Linked DNA regions of Macaca fascicularis. The protein of the gene in region 1 purifies or fractionates together with the protein of each later gene. This does not show direct contact. Links are inferred from orthologs where the notes say so. Each region holds a gene or a part of one and is shown in the gene's direction. Other genes may lie near its edges. The genes, in order: USP11, TCEAL4, MYH9 and TCEAL2.

The links.
Region 2: the proteins of USP11 (region 1) and TCEAL4 purify together in Homo sapiens (affinity purification with mass spectrometry; 3 studies listed by BioGRID, with this or other methods). This does not show direct contact. The link is inferred for Macaca fascicularis from reciprocal best matches to the Homo sapiens genes USP11 and TCEAL4.
Region 3: the proteins of USP11 (region 1) and MYH9 purify together in Homo sapiens (affinity purification with mass spectrometry; 3 studies listed by BioGRID, with this or other methods). This does not show direct contact. The link is inferred for Macaca fascicularis from reciprocal best matches to the Homo sapiens genes USP11 and MYH9.
Region 4: the proteins of USP11 (region 1) and TCEAL2 purify together in Homo sapiens (affinity purification with mass spectrometry; 3 studies listed by BioGRID). This does not show direct contact. The link is inferred for Macaca fascicularis from reciprocal best matches to the Homo sapiens genes USP11 and TCEAL2.

Annotation. Positions count from the first base shown.
Region 1 is NC_088395.1:47,350,355-47,353,487, forward strand, and holds part of USP11 (ubiquitin carboxyl-terminal hydrolase 11), read left to right. Parts: intron 1-9; coding exon 10-104; intron 105-487; coding exon 488-694; intron 695-1,596; coding exon 1,597-1,649; intron 1,650-1,780; coding exon 1,781-2,023; intron 2,024-2,115; coding exon 2,116-2,186; intron 2,187-2,469; coding exon 2,470-2,582; intron 2,583-3,133.
Region 2 is NC_088395.1:109,960,172-109,964,056, forward strand, and holds TCEAL4 (transcription elongation factor A protein-like 4), read left to right. Parts: upstream 1-1,602; intron 1,603-1,788; coding exon of another isoform or gene 1,789-1,976; exon of another isoform or gene 1,977-2,033; intron 2,034-2,242; 5' UTR 2,243-2,269; coding exon 2,270-2,917; 3' UTR 2,918-3,321; downstream 3,322-3,885. Other genes in the region: uncharacterized protein, read right to left, coding at 960-1,602, 1,789-1,976. UniProt on the Homo sapiens protein: May be involved in transcriptional regulation.
Region 3 is NC_088384.1:15,392,503-15,396,199, forward strand, and holds part of MYH9 (myosin-9), read left to right. Parts: intron 1-226; coding exon 227-475; intron 476-1,597; coding exon 1,598-1,810; intron 1,811-1,955; coding exon 1,956-2,168; intron 2,169-2,481; coding exon 2,482-2,643; intron 2,644-3,697. UniProt on the Homo sapiens protein: Cellular myosin that appears to play a role in cytokinesis, cell shape, and specialized functions such as secretion and capping. Required for cortical actin clearance prior to oocyte exocytosis. Promotes cell motility in conjunction with S100A4.
Region 4 is NC_088395.1:108,615,922-108,619,999, forward strand, and holds TCEAL2 (transcription elongation factor A protein-like 2), read left to right. Parts: upstream 1-1,529; 5' UTR 1,530-1,657; intron 1,658-2,229; 5' UTR 2,230-2,303; intron 2,304-2,661; 5' UTR 2,662-2,688; coding exon 2,689-3,375; 3' UTR 3,376-3,571; downstream 3,572-4,078. UniProt on the Homo sapiens protein: May be involved in transcriptional regulation.

The DNA of each region.
Region 1 (3,133 bases):
CATTCCTAGATGATGGTGGCTGATGTCTTCAGTCACCGCTTCTATAAGCTCTATCAGCTGGAGGAGCCTCTGAGCAGCATCTTGGACCGCGATGATATCTTCGTGTGAGTGGGGATGACGGGGAGATGGCGGTCCCTCAGGAACTTGGTCCACTTCCTTCTATATGGTCCTGCCTTAACCACCTTCTCTCTTCCCTGCTCTGCCTCATTCACTGGGCACCTGCCCTGTGCAGAGCTTCAGCCACGTGCCTTGGGAGACTGAGGCAGGAGAATGGCGTGAACCCGAGAGGCGGAGTTTGCAGTGAGCCGAGATCACGCCACTGCACTCCAGCCTGGGCAACAGGGCGAAACTCCATCTCAAAAATAAATAAATAAAAAAAAATAAAAATACTTTCAGGCTGTGAGGATGAGTGGGTGGGGCAGCCAGGGCAGAGTTAGGGAGTCTCTGGGGGCCCCGATCAGGTGTGCCTGCTCTCCACCCCCCACAGCTATGAGGTGTCAGGTCGCATTGAGGCCATCGAGGGATCGAGAGAGGACATCGTGGTTCCTGTCTACCTGCGGGAGCGCACCCCTGCCCGTGACTACAACAATTCCTACTATGGCCTGATGCTTTTTGGGCACCCCCTCCTGGTATCAGTGCCCCGGGACCGCTTCACCTGGGAGGGCCTGTATAACGTCCTGATGTACCGGCTCTCGTAAGTGTCCTCTTCCCCAGGGGCGGGGGTGGTGGGGTCTGAACTCCAACTTGGGTGTTCAGCTGCTTATTTGACACCTCCCCTGCAACAAACAAAAGACAGTCCAAACTTTACGTGGACATAGAAGAACTTGTAGGGTTTTTTCTTTCTCTAGACCTCTGGCTTTGCTACTGCCTCTCTTGGGTGCTAGGGATACAGAGGTGAACAAGATGCACAAAACACAGACAACTTCATCTTGTCTTCAGTTGTCTCTCCTGGGGTCAGTTGTGCCTCCTGGGAGAGTCTTGGTTTTTTGTCTTTTTGCTGACAAATTTTCATTGTGCCAAAAATCTAGAGTCTTTACCGTGGCACACAAAACATTGTGTTATCAGAATTCTAGCCCCTCATCTTGCACTCAGAAGTCACTCCTTAGAGGCCTTCCCTGATGGGAAGTTACAGCTGGCATGTGCCTGTCTAGCAGTGGCTTATTAGACTAAAAGTCCACGCTCCACACTCTTTTTTTTTCTTTTTTTTTTTTTGAAACGGAGTCTTGCTCTGTTGCCCAGGCTGGAGTGCAGTGGCACAATCTGGTTCACTGCAACCTCTATCTCCTGGATTCAAGCAATTCTCCTGCCTCAGCCTCCCAAATAGCTGAGATTACAGCCGTGTGCCACCATGCCCAGCTAATCACACTCCACACCTCTGACTGGGACACAAGTTCCTTCATTCTCAGGCCACTGCTGACAGCCTTGGCCTCTTCGTGCATTTACGCATCACGCCCTCAGCCCTTTCACACCTCAAATTCAGAATGGTTTACGTGTGGGTCTTCCAGTGGCTTCCCATTATCATCTAAGTAAAATCCTGGGCTCTATCCCCACTGTCCTTGTACCCCTGCCTTGGGAGTCTCCTTTGCTCTGTTGCAGACGCTACGTGTCTAAACCCAACTCAGATGATGAGGACGATGGGGATGAGAAAGGTGAGGGGGCTAACAGTCAGTGGGCGGGGGCTCTGGGTTAGGTCTTACCCACACGGGGTTCGTCTAGGTGTGCATTGCATCTTAGCACTTGAGGCTCACACCTTCCCATCTCTGACATCCTCCTGTCCTAGAAGATGACGAAGAGGATAAAGACGACGTCCCTGGGCCCTCAACTGGGGGCAGCCTCCGAGACCCTGAGCCAGAGCAGGCTGGGCCCAGCTCTGGAGTCACGAACAGGTGCCCATTCCTCCTGGACAATTGCCTTGGCACATCTCAGTGGCCCCCAAGGCGACGGCGCAAGCAGCTGTTCACCCTGCAGACGGTGAACTCCAATGGGACCAGTGACCGCACAACCTCCCCTGAAGAAGTCCATGGTATTCTCCTTTGGCTATCAATGAGGGCTGGGGAGGCCGGAGGGGAGATTTCCTGGCAGCAGGAACCATGACCATCTCTCCCTCGCCCCCAGCCCAGCCATACATTGCTATTGACTGGGAGCCAGAGATGAAGAAGCGTTACTATGACGAGATAGAGGCTGAGGTAAATGAGATCCCAGGGATGGGGGGTACTTTCAGCTCTTGCCCCTCAACTCTTCGTACGTCCTCTCCACAACTCCTCTAGCTAGGAACAGAGCCAAGAGATCCAGGTCAAGCCTGGTCTTGGGGCCTGAACACCTACTGAGAGCTCCAGGGCCTGAGGTTCCTAGCTTCAAAGTCGGTGCTCTGACCCACTCGGTGCGTGTCTCCCCTCCTGGGCCCCTACTCCCCATTTCTCCACCCGTCCTCACACCCGGCCACCTGGCCGTCTGCTCACCCAACCCTAGGGCTACGTGAAGCATGACTGCGTTGGGTACGTGATGAAGAAGGCTCCCGTGCGGCTGCAGGAGTGCATTGAGCTCTTCACCACTGTGGAGACCCTGGAGAAGGAAAACCCCTGGTGAGGGGCCAGAGCGGGGCCTGTGTGTGGGGGTTTCATTGGATGGCACTACTATATTTAGCTTTTTTTTTTTTTTTTCGAGACAGAATCTGGCTCTGTCACCCAGGCTGAAGTGCAGTAGCGCAATCTCGGCTCGCTGCAACCTCTGCCTCCCAGGATCAAGCAATTCTCCTGCCTAAGCCTCCTGAGTAGCTGGGATTATAGGCACCCGTTACTGTGCCTGGCTAATTTTTGTATTTTTAGTAGAAACAGGTTTCGCCATGTTGGCCAGGCTGGTCTCGAACTCCTGACCTCAGGTGATCTTCATCTTGTCTTCAGTTGTCTCTTCCAAAGTGCTGGACACTTCCAAAGTGCTGGAATTACAGGCGTGAGCCACCGCGCCCAGCCTATATTTAGCTTTTTAAATACACTTCTCTCCTCCCTCCTCCACGCTCAAACCTTTCCTGCTACCCTGGCCACCGATCCCCTGAGCAGACTCCTACCCCAGAGCCTTGACCTGGGCTGTTCCTTCTCCGGGAATGTTGTTTCCCAATGATCTATAGGATTTCACT
Region 2 (3,885 bases), about 63 Mb from region 1:
ATAGAATACGACAGGCTATAGTATACAGCCTAGGAGTGTAGTAGGCTATACCATATAGGTTTGTATAACCACACTCTACGATGTTCACACCACCACGAAATTGCCTGATGCATTTCTCAGAACATATCCCCATTATTAAGTGGCACGTGACTATATTTAAAGGCCTTCCACACCAAAAGCTTATGTGGAGATAAACGGAGACTACCCATAAGAGAACAAACAAGTGCTACTTATTCACAGCTTTTTTATAGCAAGGAAGTCAAGCCACCATCATTTGAATCTGGCAGAGATTCAAAGACAGGCAGGGGAGTGGGAAAGCTTTATAGCGGAAAACAAAAACACAAAGACTTCAAGTATGCTCTGATTGGATGTTGTTGACGTGAGGAAGCTAGAGGCAGGCCAACTAGAGGCAAGCATCCTATGTGATTGAGTATGGGTTCATATTTGGGTTTTTCTTGTTTGTCATCAGGTCAAAAAAATTAAAAAGGCCAGAAAGGCTAGCAAATTGATTAAAGTCCTGAACATTTCTGCAGATGCTATACTTTGGCTTCTTGAGCTGCTTGCAGCAACGGTTGTGGGTCTCAGTTCTATTTTCGTATGTGGTCTGGTCATTGTCTCTGTACATTCAGTTTCTCACTTAAGATAAATTAATCGTTTTTATTTTGCTTCAAATATAACTTTTTTTATTCATTTGAAAATTTATGTTTGTACATGTCAGGAAAAAGGGACAATTTCATTTATTTTGGAAAATTTTTATTAAGTTTTTTCTAAAGTCGATATTCTATTCTTTATACAGTACTTGAGTTCACATTTATACGATTTTATCGGGTGGGTCTACGTTATTTCTGTGGAATTTAAGAGCAACATTATCAAGACTCCTCCTCTGGACCGCCCAACTCATTAAAAAAAAAAAAAACAACTTTGCGATTTTCATTAAAATTCCTTCTTTGATTAATTTCTTAACAAGAAGAAAAGGACAAAAGGGTCCAGGGAGGTGAGAGGGTACCTGCTGGAGAGAGGTGGTGGGTAGCTGGAAGCGGCTGGCTAGGAGGCGGGGCGTGGGGCGTGGGGCGGTGGAACTCCTGTGCTGCGGCATTCACGTGATCTGCCTGGGCGCAGATGTGGGCACCGGTCCGAGTGCCCGCCCTCTGTCCCCGCGGCTGGGTCCCGTCTGCTCCAGTTCCTGGGCTCCTAATTCTTGGTCCAGCTTCCTCCAGGTCAGTGTGCGGGCCTTCCACGCTGCCAGCGGAATACTGGAATGGCGGAAGGGGAACGGGTACAGTACCGGGAAAGGCTGGGGGTGGGGTCGGGTCGAGTCGAGGGAAGCTGGCCCGAGTGTGGACAGAGATGGCGGTGGGAAAACGGCTAAAGGTGGCTGAGGGGGAGCACGTAGGCAGTGGGCAGAGGGTGAGGAAGGCGAGCACCTCCAAGTATCCATGCTCGCTTTCCAGGCACATCCTCTTTTCTGCCCTCCGTCCATTTTGGAGCCGGAGATGGTGGGCTGGGGACGCCCCAGTAGTGAGACAGTGGAAGTAAACCCCCTCTGCCGTTCCCGTACATAGAGAAAAACGTTGACCGCGAGGCTGGGGAGGAGAGTTGCCTCTGAGGAAGAAGGACACAGAGACCCAAAATTAGTTTGGAAAGCATCCTGGTTTGGTGCCCGAGGCCTGGAAAGAAATGGCGGCTGGGGTGCGGGGGAGGTAGGGGAGGAAAACGTTGGATGAGAAGGGCCTGGACTCAGGAAAGGGAACCGAGTCCCTGTGAGCCCGCTGAGCGCGCAGCCCCTACCCCTGTCTCCTGTCTGTCCGCAGGTCTGCGCGTCTGTTGTTCCCAGCGCTCTGCGAAGCCTGAAAAAGAGGAGCAACCTGTCCAGAATCCCCGCAGGTCCGTGAAAGTAGGGGGCTGCATGGACAGGGGCCCACAAGGGTTGAGAGTGTGGAGGGCCCGGCCAGAGCCGAATTGGGGCCCCCGCCCATCCCCCCACCCACATTAACACACACCTTACCAGGCTGAACCACTGCAGAGAAAGTGACAGGGCTTGCCAGGCAATGGCTGGCTCACGTGTGTGGGAGGAGTGGCAGGCTACGTGGTGGGCAGAAGGCCCTCTTGGAGGCCCCGCCAGCTCAGGGGAACCCTCATCAGGGGTGAGATGCAAGTACTATCCAGACCTGCATTTCATCCCACGCACTCAGTCTCCCATGTCTCCTCTTTGTCTCCTCTTCCCTCCACCCCCATCCCCCAGGGCACGAAAAGGAGGGGAAATCTCGACATGGAAAAACTCTACAATGAAAATGAAGGCATGGCTTCAAACCAAGGAAAGATGAAAAATGAAGAACAGCCACAGGACGAGAGAAAGCCAGAAGTAGCTTGTACTCTGGAAGACAAGAAGTTGGAAAACGAGGGAAAGACAGAAAACAAGGGCAAAACAGATGAGGAAATGTTAAAGGATAAAGGAAAGCCGGAGAGTGAGGGAAAGGCAAAAGAAGAAGGAAAGTCAGAGAGGGAGGGAGAGTCAGAGATGGAGGGAGGATCAGAGAGAGAGGGAAAACCAGGGATAGAGGGAAAGCCAGAGAGTCAAGGACAGCCAGGGAGTGAAACAAGGGCTGCAGGAAAGCGCCCAGCTGAGGGTGATGTACCCAGGAAAGCCAAAAGAAAAACTAATAAGGGGCTGGCTCATTACCTCAAGGAGTATAAAGAGGCCATACACGATATGAATTTCAGCAATGAGGACATGATAAGAGAATTTGACAATATGGCTAAGGTGCAGGATGAGAAGAGAAAAAGCAAACAGAAATTGGGGGCGTTTTTGTGGATGCAAAGAAATTTACAGGACCCCTTCTACCCTAGAGGCCCAAGGGAATTCAGGGGTGGCTGCAGGGCCCCACGAAGGGACATTGAAGACATTCCTTATGTGTAGTGTCCCTGGCAGGCATTTACCAGGCCATGTGCTTTACCCCGACGGTAGTACTTTACTTTAGGCATCCCTCCTGTTACTAGCAGCCTTTTGACCCAACTGCAACGCGGTGTTCTTAGTAGCAAATTTTCATCCGTTACATGGAAAGAATGTTGATGGTGCATTGTAAAATTAAAAAACACAACTTGCAGAACCAAACATATGGCATCAGTACATTTTTGTAAAACTACAAAGATACCTAGTAATTTATGTATAGAAAACAATTCTGAAAGCTGTGTCAACTAAAAGATTAACAGTGGTTATCTGTGCGTGATTTTTTCTGTACTTTTTTGTTCATCTGTCCATTTTTCTCCTAAAAACAGATTTCTTAATCATAAAAATAATAAAAGTTAAAATATTGGAAAACAGTGAATATTTGAATTTCATTCATTTGAATAAGCATTCAAATGAACTGCCCAGTGAACTTATAAAGACAGTGGATATACTTAAAATTCTTGTTGTCAGGACATAAAATGATGGGTAAAAGTTGCATTACCTCTGGGACTGGAAGCTGGAGGAGTCAACTCGATGGTTATTACAGCTCCATTGCTGTAAGGGACAGCCTTGACATCTGTGAAACGGGGATAAAATTAGCCTAGACATGTGGAGAAGATCAAATGAGGTATTGAGTGTGTGAGCTGTGTTAGGCTGGCTCCTACTCTCTCCCCTTGCACTAGCAGAACCAGTACCCAGTCAGACGCTTGGGGAGGGCTGAAGGAGGTCTCACCTGTGCCCAGAAATAAGTCCAGACAGCTGAGAGATGGGTGCCACTCTTTCTGGGTAATGCCATACTTGAAAGGTAGTATGCCCCTTTCTCATGGATCCTGCACCCTCCTAAGGCAGTAGCTGCTGCTGCTGGGCTGGAGACCATGATGGACTAAGCAACACTATGTCCCAACAGAAAAGTGGAGAATTCCGTCTCTACCTACAAT
Region 3 (3,697 bases), on another chromosome or scaffold:
AACCTCCCCCGGGCTTCACACGGTAGACGGATGCCCCTTTGCAGAAGCTCCATTTGTCTCGCCCCCGTGGAGAGGGAAGTGACTGGGGGAGGCGGTTTCATAACTGGGCGGATCCCTGGTGCCCCTTCCACGGTGTGGCAGGCAGGCTCCCAGCTGCCTCAGGGACGGGTGTGCCACCTGAGCAGGTGCCATCTCGGGCGTCTGCTTACTCCTGGCTCCTGCCCAGGTGGCCGACATGAAGAAGAAGATGGAGGACAGTGTGGGGTGCCTGGAAACCGCTGAGGAGGTGAAGAGGAAGCTCCAGAAGGACCTGGAGGGCCTGAGCCAGCGGCACGAGGAGAAGGTGGCCGCCTACGACAAGCTGGAGAAGACCAAGACGCGACTGCAGCAGGAGCTGGATGACCTGCTGGTGGACCTGGACCATCAACGCCAGAGCGCGTGCAACCTGGAGAAGAAGCAGAAGAAGTTTGACCAGGTGTGTGGCCACTGGCTCCGTCCTTTGTATTTCTTCAAGCACTGAGTCCAAGGCGAAGGGCCCGTCAGAGAAAGCCTGGGCTCCCTCAAGGTCTTGCCCGGGAGGGCCGTGCGGGGCAGCGCTTGGAGGCCCCCCCGTCTCTGGCTTGTCGAGGGACGCAGGGAGAAGGCCAGTGGAAGAGGGTGTCTTCCTGCAATGGGTTGAGGAGTGACTTTTCCTTTCTGGTTTTTTACATTTTTCAGATTTTCTGGAATTAAGTGGTTTGACTGTCTTTTAAACGATTTATTTATGCACTCATATCGCTTCCTTTTCCAAAATATCAGAGGGCAGCTGAGGGGGATGCGGACTCAGGGGCGGGATAGAACAGTAGAAGACACCGGGCAGCTGACTGCGGCAGTCGGGTCCAGCCCACTGCGTTTCGTGGGGAAAGATGGAGTGAACACAGCCACACTCCGTCGTTCTCGCGTTGTCTTTGGTTGCTTTGAGCTGTGGTAGTGGGGTTGAGCCATTGCTGCAGAGACCGTAGGGCCTGCGTACTCTAAAGAATACACTATCTGGCGCTTTAGGAAGTGGTCAGCCACCCATGGAATAATTAAGGTTTGGGCCAAAAGGAAGGGAAGCTGGGGAAATAGGATAGAGCCAGGTGGGTGCACACAGAGAACAGATGCCAGGGGACAGAAGCTTTCGTTAGAGGAGACCACAAATGGGGTTCAGGCTTCCTGGTAGCCAGCTTGGCATTCACTCCGTGAAAAATGCCAACCAAATGCCAACTTTGGTTCAGGAGAACCAAAGCTCTTACAGGTTTGGAGGGCTCTCATGGAAGGGGCAGCATGCCATAAAGGGTTACGATTAGTAAGTGATGAAAATTAAACAGATGTTACGACATGGCGTTCGCAGCAGTGCCTGCCCCAGTCGGCAGTCATCCCGTCATGAGGATGCACAGGACTGTGTGTGTTGTCCCGGGCACAGCCCTGGGCCTGTGCTTCCTAGATCTGCTCCTCTCCGCCGTGGCCTCTGGGCTCCGCGTTCCCCAGGGAGCTTAGGCCCAGCTGCTCTGCCCCGCCGGGGGCCGTAGCTCTGAGCCTGTGGTGCTGAGCCTCATGGTGCCCACCTCTCTCCCAGCTCCTGGCAGAGGAGAAGACCATCTCTGCCAAGTACGCAGAGGAACGCGACCGGGCTGAGGCGGAGGCCCGAGAGAAGGAGACCAAGGCGCTGTCGCTGGCCCGGGCCCTGGAGGAAGCCATGGAGCAGAAGGCGGAGCTGGAGCGGCTCAACAAGCAGTTCCGCACGGAGATGGAGGACCTCATGAGCTCCAAGGACGACGTGGGCAAGAGCGTGAGTGCTGGACCTGGCAGCAGGCTCTTGGGAGGGGCCCGAGGGGGGTCATCACAGAGGGTCGCTGTGTGCACAGACTCCGGGTCTCGCAGACCCCGGTACCTGCCAGTCCCTTTGCTCCTGACTTGGGCTCTCTGGGGCTCAGGTCCACGAGCTGGAGAAGTCCAAGCGGGCCCTGGAGCAGCAGGTGGAGGAGATGAAGACGCAGCTGGAAGAGCTGGAGGACGAGCTGCAGGCCACTGAAGACGCCAAACTGCGGCTGGAGGTCAACCTGCAGGCCATGAAGGCCCAGTTCGAGCGGGATCTGCAGGGCCGGGATGAGCAGAGCGAGGAGAAGAAGAAGCAGCTGGTCAGACAGGTGTGCATGGCCTCCTGCTTCCCCACGAGTGCCCAAGGCTGCCCTGGCTTCACGCAGGCTTCTGTTCTCTCCTTCCACTTGGATTATGTTAGGGCCCCTTGACCACGCCTCCCCTCCCATATCCCTCCTTTCCAGCCCCCTGTCTCGGGGTTCAGTGACTCACCTTCTTAGAGTTCTTATGGTCAGTAATCCCCACTGGCCCCCCAAGGCCCCATGGATCCTGCAGAACTGGCCTGAGGCTCCTGAGTTCAGAGCTAGGGCAGGGTCTCTGAGTGGGTCCAGCTTCCCAAGCTGTTGATTTCCCTTCCCCCAGGTGCGGGAGATGGAGGCAGAGCTGGAGGATGAGAGGAAGCAGCGCTCGATGGCAGTGGCTGCCCGGAAGAAGCTGGAGATGGACCTGAAGGACCTGGAGGCTCACATCGACTCAGCCAACAAGAACCGGGAGGAAGCCATCAAACAGCTGCGGAAGCTGCAGGTGAGGGTGGGCGGGGCCCAGGTGAGGGTGGGCGGGGCCCAAGCCAGCCAACTACATGTGAAGGTGCCGGGCCCGGGGCAGGAACCTGGCAGGGTGGCACCTCCTGGGAAGGTCCTGGGTGCTTCCAGCCCCATCTCACTGACAGAGACTCAGAGGCTCGGAGGTGAGTGGAAACATGATAGTCCAACAGCAGACTTGCAAAACGGTGAATGACTGAGTACATAAAACACAGAAGCAAACAAGTACAAGCCTAGACATGGGTGGAGTTCGAGAAGGTCTCACTTAATGCAGATTTCCAGAATCAGCCGGGTGCTGACACCCTCCAGCCTTCTGGGCTCTGGGGTGATGGTTCTGAGCAGCAGCCCAGAGTGCGGGACACGTACTTGGAAATCTTTACCTCACCAATAATTAAAGAATAATTAACACGTAAAAACAGCTCTGATACACCATATCATGTAACAAGAATAACCTTAGTTTAAAAAAAATTTTTTAAGTGTAAAAAAAAAAACCCACAAAAACTTTAAAACCTCTCTGTGGTCAGGGTTGTGGGCATAGCTACTGTGATTGCTGGTGGCATTTTTTTACTGGTGTGGTTGAGCTGTACACAGCCAGTCATGCTCTTTGGTTTGGGGAATCTCAATTTAGGATTTATCTGCAAAGATCTTTATTGTTCTAACAAATAACAGGAGAATAACAAAAGGAAAGGTGTTTCCTGCCTGTGGTGGGGACGGCCCGGCAGGCTGGGCACTGGTTTTGAGGGGCAGGTGCACATTAGGGGTGGCACCGTGGGCACCAGCTTCCGGCCCACAGGAGGGGACAGAAAGTAGGAAATGAAGCTCAGCTTGGGCTCACGTCCACGGTGACCAGCACTGTCAAAGTGTGCATGATGGGGTGGGTCACAGAGGTGTTTGCCTTTAGTTGCCTTTTCGCCCTGTCACCACGGTTAGTTGGTTAAATAAAGCATCGAGCGGAGCACCAGCCATGAGCCCTGCTGGCGAGGTGACCCACAAGGGTAGGGGTGGAGGGCCAAGGAGCTGGGTGGGGTGCCAAGCCT
Region 4 (4,078 bases), about 61 Mb from region 1:
TAGTTACCAAAGATAGCTTAAAATCACTATAATTAGATGATTAAAACAGAAAAGCAGTTCTTTTCAACTGATTTGATATTATTTTCATCAAATTCTTGAATAATTATAATAATTTTATGAAAGTTTATACTGAGGAAATGGAAACACCTAGCCTCTATAATTCAGGAAAAAATTCAACATTGAGGACAGTACTGTTGGTTATGTGGTGATAATGACAAACACACATATTGATAGAGCAAAATATTGTAGGAAGATCGAGGTTTTACTAAATGAAGAAAGATGTGTAGCAGAAATATAATCAGAATTGTTTGTGTAACATACATAATTCATAATCATATAATCATGATAAGGTATTTTGCAAACCAAAATAGTTGTTGCCCAGATTTACACACACAAAAAAACACACGACATACACATATATATGTACACAATATACATCTACACATATATGTGTGTATAAATAAACATATGTGTATATATACATATACATGTCACTACACTGTAGAAGTTAAAATATTGGTAACTTTTAGTTTTTGTGGGTGGTAGCTTCACAAATGTGAAAGAAAAGGAAAGAAAAAAAGACAAAGGATGGGCAGGGAAGGACATAACAGGACAGGAAAGAAAAGGGAAGGAAGAGGGACAAGCAGGGATCAATAATAAGGGTGTCTTGTAAACCAAGGACTATGATGAATTTGTACATCTGAAATTCATATTTAAAAGGTTTTAATGCTTTCTTTTCTACCTGTCTGAGATTCTCTCTCTATGAAAACTGATCAAATGTTGGAAGGTAAGTTTCAAGTGCGCAGAGAGGCCATGGGAGATGGCAAGAAGGAAGTTGGTGAAATAAATTTGGGGTACACGGGCTTTTAGGTCCCTCAGGGACTCTCGGGCGGTGATGTCCAATAGAGAGTTGGCAAAGTTGATATGAGACACGGAGAAGGGAATAGCCTGGAGATGTAGATCTGGGAGTCATCGGTGCTTTCTGGAAATGAATGAGATCACACAGGGAGAGACAACTTGAGGACTGAGGAGAGAGGAGGCCCAGGACAGAACCCCAGGAACACCGCCACTCAAGGTGGCAGCTCAGCTTCCTGGCAGGCGTCACTACCCCGGGCTCTGGAGTCAGGCAGAGCCAGTATTGAAAGTGGGCTGTGGAGTTCTGGGGCTGAGCCCTCTTGGCAAAGTCGGGTACCCTCTTTGATCAGCTGTCACACCTGGCGATAATGGGCATCAGAGAGAGATGCCTTGCGAGGATGCTGTGAGCTGCGTCAGGTAAAGCACCTGGGGTCAGAAAGCCACCCCTCCTCCTCTTCTCCGCGACCCCACTTTGCTACACAAACGCACCGAGACTCCGACAGTCCCCAGCCTCCGGTCCCTCAGGGATGGAAGATGAGGTATGTCAGGCAAGAGGGGGCGCCGAGCTCCAGGGTGAGGTGTGTCGGGCAAGAGCTGGGCCGAGCTCCAGTGACGCGGCGCTCACGTGATCCGTCGGACGCCTACGTGGGCACCAGCCCCCACGCCAGCCCGCCAGCCAGCCCAGCGGTCGGGTCCCGGCGCCCGCGCAGAATAAGCTGTCTGAGCTGCCCAGACTGCTGGGGAGCAGCGAGCCGGCTTCCGCGAGCCGGAGGAAGCACAGGCGTGTCCTGGGTACCCGCAGGTCAGTGTGAAAGCGGGCGCTGTCGGCGGCCCCTGGGACAGGGGTGGAGGGGGCTGGCAGTAGGATTGGGGAGGGAGCGGAGAAGGAATCCTGTAGATTGGTGAGGAAGGGGATGCCTGCGGAGCGGACCGGGGTGGGGACAGGGGAGGGAGAACTCCCGAAGCGAGCCTGGCTCGCCTTCACGACGCCCCCTTGCACTGAGTCATCCATCCATTTTTAGTGCTAGAAATGAGGGGTGGGGGTAGCGACTCCGCAGTGCGACAGTGAAACGTAGACATATTCTAGAAATAATCCCTTCTCACAATCTACGCCCATAGAAACACTTGATCTCCGCAAAAATGGGGTGGCGCTGGGGCAGGTTGTCTCAGGGAAGGGGGACACAGAGACAAACGCAGTTTGGAAAGCATCCTGGTTTGGTGCCCGAGGCCTGGAAAGAAATGGCGGTTGGGGTGCGGGGGATGTAGGGGAGAAAAACGTTGGGTGAACAGGGCCTGGACTCAGGAAAGGGAACCGAGTCCCCTGTGAGCCCGCTGAGCGCGCAGTCCCTGCCCCTGTCTCCTATCTGTCCGCAGGTCTGCGCGTCTGTTGTTCCCAGCGCTCTAAGAGGCCTGAAAAGGAGGAGCAACCTGTCCAGAATCCCCCGCAGGTTCGTGAAAGCAGGGGGCTGCATGGACAGGGGCCCACAAGGGTTGAGAGTGTGAAGGACCCAGCTAGGGCCGAATCGGGGCCCCTGCCCTTCCACCCACCCACATGAACACACACCTTACCAGGCTGAACCAGTGCAGAGAAGGTGGCAGGGCCTGTCAGGGAACAGCTGGCTCACGTGTGTGGGAGGAGTGGCAGGCTATGTGGTGGGCAGAAGGCCCTCTTGGAGGTCCGGTCAGCTTAGGGGAACCCTCACCAGGGGTGAGATGCAAGTAGTATCCAGACCTGCATTCCACGCCAGGCCCTCAGTCTCCCATGTCTCCTCTTTGTCTCCCCTTCCCTCAACCCGCATCCCCCAGGAAAGGAAAAGGAGGGGAAATCTCGACATGGAAAAATTCTTCAATGAAAATGAAGGAATGCTTTGGAACCAAGGAAAGATAGAAAATGAAGAACAGCCACCGGACGAGGGAAAGCCAGAAGTAGCTTGTACTCTGGAAGACAAGACGTTAGAAAACGAGAGAAAGACAGAAAACAAGGGCAAGACAGGAGATGAGGAACCGTTAAAGGATAAAGAAAAGCCAGAGAGTGCAGGAAAGGCAAAAGGAGAAGGAAAGTCAGAGAGGAAGGGAAAGTCAGAGATGGAGGGAGGATCAGAGAGAGAGGGAAAGCCAGAGAGAGGGGGAAGGGCAGAGGGGGAACGAGAGCCAGACAGTGAAAGAGAGCCAGAGAGTGAGGGAGAGCCAGAAAGTGAAAGGAGGTCTGCAGGAAAGCGCCCAGCTGAGGATGATATACCCAGGAAAGCCAAAAGAAAAACAAACAAGGGGCTGGCTCAGTACCTCAAGCAATATAAGGAAGCCATACATGATATGAATTTCAGCAATGAGGACATGATAAGAGAATTTGACAACATGGCTAGGGTGGAGGATAAAAGGAGAAAAAGCAAACAGAAATTGGGGGCGTTTTTGTGGATGCAAAGAAATTTACAGGACCCCTTCTATCCTAGGGGTCCAAGGGAATTCAGGGGTGGCTGCAGGGCCCCACGAAGGGACACTGAAGACATTCCTTACGTGTAGTGTCCCTGGCAGGCATTTATCAGGCCATATGTTTTAACCTTATGGTAATACTTTGCTTTAGTTGTTCCTCCTGCTACCAGTAGCCTTTTGACCCACCTGCCAGTGCTTGCTTGCTCTGTTTCAGTAGCAGATTTTCACACCTGTGCATTTCAGAGACGTCATGATTCATGGAAAAATAAAGCAGCTTGTAATATCATCTGCAGAATCTGTCTGTTTTTGTTAAATACATGAAAGGTTAACAGTGGTTTTCTGAGTTGTGAGCTAGCAGGTGATTTCATTTCTTTGTTTTCTTTCTTTCTACTAATCTTTCTTTTCCCAGAGAACACAAATTACTTTTCTCACAAAAATAATAAAATATTTTTAAAAATCAGAACACAGTATGTAAAAAACAAAGAGAATAACTGTCCAGTGAACTTATGAAGTTCAGTAGAGACACTTAAAGTTCTTGTTGTCAGAACTTAAAACGATAGGTAAAATTCACATTACCTACCTGTGGGACTCATCTGGAGAAGTCAACCTGGGGTTATTACAGATCCATTGCTCTAATGGACAGTCTTGTTGTTTGTCAAATGGAGATAATACTTCGCTTTTCAGAACTGCTGAGTGGGTTGGATGAGGTAGAGAATATATGTGTTGGGTTGACATCTACCTTCTCCCCTGCTCTAGCAGAAAAAATACCCCCTCAGACACTTGGAAGAGAACT